Linked DNA regions of Kluyveromyces lactis. The protein of the gene in region 1 interacts with the protein of each later gene in a pairwise test. Links are inferred from orthologs where the notes say so. Each region holds a gene or a part of one and is shown on either strand. Other genes may lie near its edges.

Region 1 (4,075 bases):
TACAATATCAATACTGTTGAAATTCACTGTGCAAAAGCAATCATTTCTTTGTTTATTTTAGACAGCGGACGAAAACATCTTTTTATAGTGATTATATGTGGTATATTTAAGTATTAGGATTTTATAAAACTGATTCGTGATGCGATTTTTGGAAAGATGATTCATTTGCTGTTTAAAGTATGCCAGTTTAATACGGATGATAAATTATAAAACCCAATATTGTTCATTTATTTGCACTTCTATAGTACATTTTACGGATCAATGGATGATGATCTCTTAAGTCTTTATTCTTATTGGAACTGTATTCTAGGTATGCCATATCCTCACCACCAGCCAAACCAGCCAAAGATCCTTCGCTCTTAACAGCCTTAGATTTGTTCCTTGGTCTCTTGTTCCCACCATTCTTCCAAATGTAGCTATCGTTATCCTCACCTGCTTCAATGCCTGCAGCTTCTTCGTTTTTGAGAAGAACTTCTTGCAAAAGTTCTCTACGTTCTCTAGCAGAAGAATATGCTAGATTAGGCAAGTTTTCCATACCATGTAGATGGGTGATAACCTTGAAAGCATAACCTTGATCAACTAAAAATGCCTGTCTCTTTGTGGAGTAGTACATTTCTTGAGTATCTTTAGAAACTAGAGAATAGAAGAAGGCGTTGAACCCTTCATCGTTACGTCTCTTAGCTCTTAAAATTCTACCCAATCTTTGTGCTTCTTGACGTCTAGACCCGTAATGAGACGAAATTTGGATCAAACAAGTCGCCTCTGGCAAATCAATCGAAGTATCTCCAACCTTTGATAAGAAAATGGTATTGATTTGGTCATTATATTGAAAATTCTGCAAAATATTCATACGCTCTTGTTGTGGCGTGGAACCGTAAATGAAAGGCTTACCTAGCTTCAAAGCATATTCTTGAAGAGCGTAGACGTTATCTGAAAAGACGATAATTTTATCACCTCTCTTTTCATGATATTGAATCAAAAATTGACACGCCTGGAACTTGGTTGGATTCATAATATATAGTAGCATTCTTTTTCTCGCATTCTCTCTTAGATATTCTTGGTAAAACTCTGCAGTCATTGGACACCAAACTTCCGCACACTGCACATTAGCAATGTGACCTTTCTGTGAAAGTTCCATCCAATTAGCTTCGTAAAGTTTTGGACCAATCAAGAAATTCAAATCACTAATCTTGTCATCTTCACGCACCAAAGTTGCAGTTAAACCTAATTTTGCATGTGCGGCAATAGTGGACACAACACGTCTAAACATGGCTGCAGGTACGACATGTACTTCATCCAAAATAATGAAACCCCATTCTCTACCCGTTAAGAAATCCATAACCTTTTGAGAATCGTACGATCTATTTCTAGTGTTAGCAACCATGGAATAAGTCGAGACCACCAGACCAGATTCAGTTTGGAACATTTCTTTGTTATCTGATGTGAAGACGGCAACATTTTCAGGCTGGAGCGTACACCACTGAAGGAATTGTTGTCTCCATTGCATGACTGACACTGACGAAGTACAAAGCACGATCACAGACTTTTTGATAGTACATGCCGCTGTGATACCGACCAAAGTCTTACCAGCACCGCATGGTAACACAATAATACCACTTCTTGCACGACCGTTACCGAACATTTTGCTCAAGGATTTTTCCTGATATGGTCTGATTTGAGTTGATGGTTTCAAATCGATATCTAAATCTGGATTTCTTCGATCGTTCCTGAAATCATATTCTTCCAACACCGGATAGTCAAGTTCTTGACATCTTTTCTTCACAATTTCGACAGATGCATTGTCAATTTCGAAAGCATGAACCGCATCTATATCATCGTCTTCTTCTTCAAGTTCCTTATTGGCCCCCACGACAGCTGAAAAGACAGCTTCCACATCGTTAGGATCCACTCCCTCTGCATCTACCATCTTATTCGCCATGGTTTTCTTAACCGCAGCATCCACTGCAGCATCGGTATCGATTCTTAGATTACCAATGATTTGATCGTTTAACAACATTTGCAAGATATCAGCTTGAGAAGTTTCCACGAAATATCTATTATGCTTAATGACCAATTTCACCTTACCGTATGATACAGTTGCACTCTTAATGAAGTTGATAATCGAAGGTGCAACAGGAACCTTGGACAATCTGTCCAATACTGCTATGATATCTTCAGTTTCCAAACCAACCGAAACCGCAGCATACAAAGAGTAAGCCGTAATTCTGTACTCATGAATATGAGATGGTCTAGAAACGGGTTCTGCGATCGTCACAAGAAAATCCTGTGCTTGTTCTGCCAATGGAGAGAATGATTCTAAGATCACACGTCCATCGTTAGGCGATATCCATAAAGGCCGCGAGGCATGATCCGGCTTCAATTTTAAGTAGCTGAAATCGTTAGTCTTGAACATTCCTGAAACAACGTCAGGCTCAAAATCAGGGGGAATATCGTCCAAATGTGCATGAAGGATATCATCCTTTGCTGCTAGATTATGGTTCATTCCACTACCAGCAGTTGCAGCAGCAGCAGATCTAGAAGAAGAAGAACTTTTCTTCGATTTCCGACTCAAAAGAGGATTCACTTGAGGAGCAGGAGCGTTCGCCTGCATTAGAGATTCCTTTAACTCAGCTTCCTCTTCTTCATCTAAGACATCATCGTCGATATCTGGGGCAATATCCCCGTATTCTTCATCGTCTGTAACCAAAGAGTCATCTGAAAAAACCGTGTCCTGCACTAATTTCTCCTTTCCACCTCTACTTCTTGTGTGATATGAACGCTTCACTACCTCATCTTCCATAATGACACAATTAGTGTACAGATAGACTCCGGGGATAGACCTTAATTCCCTTGTCCGTCCTTGGACTTTGATTCTTAAACATCTAATTAAAGTTAAAGTTCTCTTAAAATCATCTTTCAGATTAATAATGTTGAGGCAAAAATGATTACCCGGACAAACAATATAACCAGAATGAGCCAAAAACCCAATATAAGTTAGAGTTGGATGACCAACTAATAACCATTGCAACCACTAGGTAGTTCCACGATTAACAATACAACAACGAGGTTGCCGAATAGACGAAAAGGCCGGTTTTGCTAGTTGTTTTTACAGTTTTAGTAGTTGTAAGACTGAAACAACCCATACACCACACCTCAGGACATCGTCACATAGTACGGCAAAAGAAACGTATTGAAAAAAAATTCGAGATTAATAGCGTTATCCAAACGAGATGAGCTTGCGATGAGGTAGGTTCAGATCTTATCCAAGAGCGATTACGATAGGATCACCAGTGGTTTGGGTGAGGAAATAGTCTAATTTTTACAGATGAGTGTTAAGAAGCAAAGTTCCAAGTCTTCAGTGCCAAAATTGACGAAGAAAGATGACAAAAAGGTAAAATCATCGTCAAGTGGTTCAGAGTCTAGTTCCAATTCCAGCGACAGCTCGAGTTCAGGTTCAGGTTCAGGTTCAGGTTCAGGTTCAGATTCGGATTCGGATTCTGGCTCAGACTCTAGTTCAAGCTCTAGCTCAGATTCAGAATCGAACTCTGATAGTAGCTCCAGTTCCAGTTCCAGTTCCAGTTCCAGTTCCAGTTCAGACTCAGACTCCAGTTCAGACTCAGATTCTAGTTCCAGCTCAGACTCTAGTTCCAGCTCAGACTCTGATTCCGACTCAGACTCTAGCTCCAGTGCCAGCTCAGAATCCGATGATGAGGACGAAAAAGACATCAAAATTAAGATAAAAGATGAAAAATCTGAGCCAGTAGCAGTGGAAGTAAAGGTGTCGAAATCGTCAAACTCGGACTCGGAATCTAGTTCTGATTCTAGCTCCGATTCAGACTCTAGCTCCGATTCAAGCTCTGACTCAGACTCCGATTCAAACTCTAGCTCTAGCTCTAGTTCAGATTCAGATTCAGACTCTAGCTCTAGCTCCAGCTCGGACTCTAGTTCGGACTCTAGTTCAGACTCAGACTCAGACTCAGACTCAGACTCAGACTCAGACTCAGATTCGTCCTCAGATTCGTCCTCCTCATCTAGCGACTCCGATAGCAGCGATAGCGAAACTGCAGTAGAAACC
Region 2 (3,487 bases), on another chromosome or scaffold:
ACTCTTACGCTCCAGGTTCCAGAACTGCTTTGATTGCTAACGGTTGTTTCGATGCTATCTCTGCTGGTATCTTGATCTACACTGGTTTGGTTGAACTAATGGCCCATGAATTTTTATATTCTGACAACTTCAAGGGTGAGAACGGCTTGAAGAAGATGTTGTGGGCCTTCTTCACTATGTGTTGGGGTGCTGGTTTGATGGCCTTGCTAGGTAAATGGGCTTAAACTAACTTAATCGCAGCATCTGTCATAATATGTATCCATCAAGGATAGGAACAATCAAACTAGTCAAAAATCAACAAATATATTGTATTAATTTATTATCATGTATAGTATCATGATACTCAAACCCCCTTTTATCGTTTCTTACCACACTACTACTACTACTATCATTATAAACTTGTTTAGAAGGTGTTTTTAATCTCTAATATTTTCTAGTCTTATTTTACTTCTCATATCTTTCCTTCAACCCATACTCTTAGCAGATGGGGGTCTTACCTCAATTAGGAAGGATGAGGTCTCTGGGGAGATGTCAATATCACATATACAGGTATCTGAAAGTACATTATGTCAGGGTTCTGAGGTCCATTGATCTCTAAGACATAGAATGAACCAAATTAAGATAGACGACTATTTGGGGTCACGTGAATGTTTACTTTCCATTCACGTGACTCGAAAACCTACCTGTTTCACAAGCGATCTGGCCGTGTTTGCTTCCGCAGAATCGTTATATTTTTTTGCGTCACTGGTTTAGTATGGAGAGTAACTGATGAAACAGTTTTTATTATTCTTATTCCATACCCGATATCAATATCGAATGTCATAGAAGTGAATAGGTAATCGTTTATCCCTCTTTTGACTTCTTAAACCCGGTCAATTGGGTCTCTTTTACCTTTTCACATGGGAAATGAAAGCCCTGGCCCAGCAAGTTATAGAGAATAGGATCGTTTCATGCCATTATTTCGTGGCAGAAACCCCACATAACTCGTGGCAGTTCAGCGGAAATGCGTATCAAAATATGAAATTTTGTGGTTTGTGGCTGTTTTTCTAGGCTTCGCTAATTTCGGCGAACTTGCCGACCAATGACATAGTGAAACAGGTTTTTGTTTTTTAGTATGGGTTTCTTTAGAAATATACGTAGTGTCAGCTAGATAGGACGAAAATTTCGGCGAAAATTTCGGCGAACCTGCAAGACGGGTATATAAAGGGGCTATTTGAACTTATATCTTGTCTTCCTTCTCCAGTTACCACTTTGCTGAATCTCAACTCGGTTCTGCTATCTTCTCTCATATTTGTCCTTTTTTTTATTCTTTCATAGCCTATCTCATCAAGCAATTGCAAAGGATCTTCTCCCCTAGACCCCGCAATTAATTAACTAATCATTAAAAACAATTGAACATGACTGCACCAACCGTTTTCAAACCAACCGTCAAGGTTGCTACTGATGTTGCTGAGTTTAGTGAAACTGAATTGACAACTAAGTATACTTATCGTAATGCTATTGTTGAAAAAAGTGCAGATGGTGTTTTCAACGTTGAACCGGTGACTCAAGATTATGAATTCAAGGTTGATTTAAAGTTGCCAAAAGTTGGTGTCATGTTAGTTGGTCTTGGTGGTAACAACGGTACCACATTCTTGGCTTCAATCTTGGCTAATAAGCACAAGGTTAAGTTCCAAACCAAGGAAGGTTTGAAGGAAGCTAATTACTATGGTTCTGTGACACAATCTTCTACTTTGAAACTTGGTGTTGACGCTGAGGGAAATGACGTTTATGCTCCGTTCAATAGTTTAGTTCCAATGGTATCTCCAAATGACTTCTATGTTTCTGGTTGGGATATTAATGGTGCTGACCTTGGAACAGCAATGGCAAGAGCTGAAGTTCTTGGTGTCGATTTGCAAAATAAATTGCGTCAAGAAATGTCCGCTCACAAACCTTTACCTTCTATCTACTATCCAGATTTTATCGCTGCTAACCAAGATGAACGTGCAGACAACTGTTTCAATAGGGATGGTAAGGCTGGACCTGTGTCTGTAAAGGACAAATGGAGTCACGTTGAACACATCCGTAACGACATTCGTCAATTCAAGGAAAATAATGGTTTGGACAAAGTCTTGGTGTTATGGACAGCTAACACTGAACGTTATGCTGACATCGTGACTGGTGTTAACGATACTGCTGAAAACTTGATCAATGCTATCAGGAGTGATCATGCAGAAATTGCTCCATCCACTGTCTTTGCTGTCGCATCTATCTTGGAAAACGTTCCATACATCAATGGTTCCCCACAGAACACTTTCGTCCCAGGTGTCATTGATTTAGCTGAAAAGGAAGGCGCTTTCATCGCTGGTGATGATTTCAAGAGTGGTCAAACCAAGATGAAGTCTGTCTTGGCCCAATTCTTGGTTGATGCTGGTATCAGACCAGTTTCTATCGCTTCCTACAACCATTTGGGTAACAACGATGGTTACAATTTGAGTTCTCCACAACAATTCAAATCTAAAGAAATCTCCAAGGCGAGTGTGGTCGATGATATCATTGAATCCAACCAAATTCTCTACAATGACAAACTGGGTAACAAGATCGACCACTGTATCGTTATCAAATATATGCCAGCGGTCGGTGACTCTAAGGTTGCCATGGATGAATATTACAGTGAATTGATGCTTGGTGGTCATAACAGAATCTCCATCCACAACGTCTGTGAGGATTCTTTGTTGGCTACTCCATTGATCATTGACTTGTTAGTCATGGCTGAATTCTGTTCCAGAATCAAGTACAAGAAGATTAATGACCTTTCAGGAGGTTACCACAGTTTCTACCCTGTCTTGACTATGTTGAGTTACTGGTTGAAGGCACCATTGACTAGACCAGGTTTCAAGGCTATTAATGGCTTGAATAAACAACGTGCTGCTTTGGAAAACTTCTTGAGATTGTTAATCGGTTTGCCAGCATTGGACGAGTTGAGATTCGAAGAAAGATTGGTTTAAAAGAATGCTAATGCTGCATGCTATTTAAAGATAGAATAGAAAGAAAAGAAGTAGTTTTTACATATATGAACCCCAACCAGATACGTATCTAGTCAACGAATAAATATATTCCTTTCCACGATATTTCCATGATATTTCTTATAACCCTATTCTGGATTACATGCTAGTCATTCCTTAAAGTGTCAGTTTTTTTTAACTTCACAAACTAAATGTTAACATCTGTGCTCAAATGAAAAACAATAACAAAAGACCAAAAACTGTAGATGAAAATCGATGTCGATGAATTATCTATAACTTGATATTTACATACCTTGAGACAGGTTATATATTTAATAAGATGCATACGGTTTTAATTTATGGACGTAAATCTAGCGAACAGTTTCGAAAACTCTCTTCTTTGCAACCTTTTTCTCATGCTCTAACTGCGAATAGTCATCAGTGAACTCCAAGTTATGTCTTAAGTTCCATTGCTGTTTGATGAAGTTAAGACCGGCGATGTT

What was found.
Region 2: the proteins of SSL2 (region 1) and INO1 interact in a protein complementation assay, tested with the Saccharomyces cerevisiae proteins (2 studies listed by BioGRID). The link is inferred for Kluyveromyces lactis from reciprocal best matches to the Saccharomyces cerevisiae genes SSL2 and INO1.

Annotation. Positions count from the first base shown.
Region 1 is NC_006041.1:1,154,021-1,158,095, forward strand, and holds SSL2 (TFIIH/NER complex ATPase/helicase subunit SSL2), read right to left. Parts: upstream 2,801-4,075; coding exon 224-2,800; downstream 1-223. Other genes in the region: SRP40 (Srp40p), read left to right, coding at 3,326-4,075. UniProt on the Saccharomyces cerevisiae protein: ATP-dependent DNA translocase. Component of the general transcription and DNA repair factor IIH (TFIIH) core complex. When complexed to CDK-activating kinase (CAK), involved in RNA transcription by RNA polymerase II.
Region 2 is NC_006040.1:1,381,563-1,385,049, reverse strand, and holds INO1 (inositol-3-phosphate synthase INO1), read left to right. Parts: upstream 1-1,397; coding exon 1,398-2,987; downstream 2,988-3,487. Other genes in the region: low-affinity Zn(2+) transporter ZRT2, read left to right, coding at 1-224; snoRNA-binding rRNA-processing protein DIP2, read right to left, coding at 3,356-3,487. UniProt on the Saccharomyces cerevisiae protein: Key enzyme in myo-inositol biosynthesis pathway that catalyzes the conversion of glucose 6-phosphate to 1-myo-inositol 1-phosphate in a NAD-dependent manner. Rate-limiting enzyme in the synthesis of all inositol-containing compounds.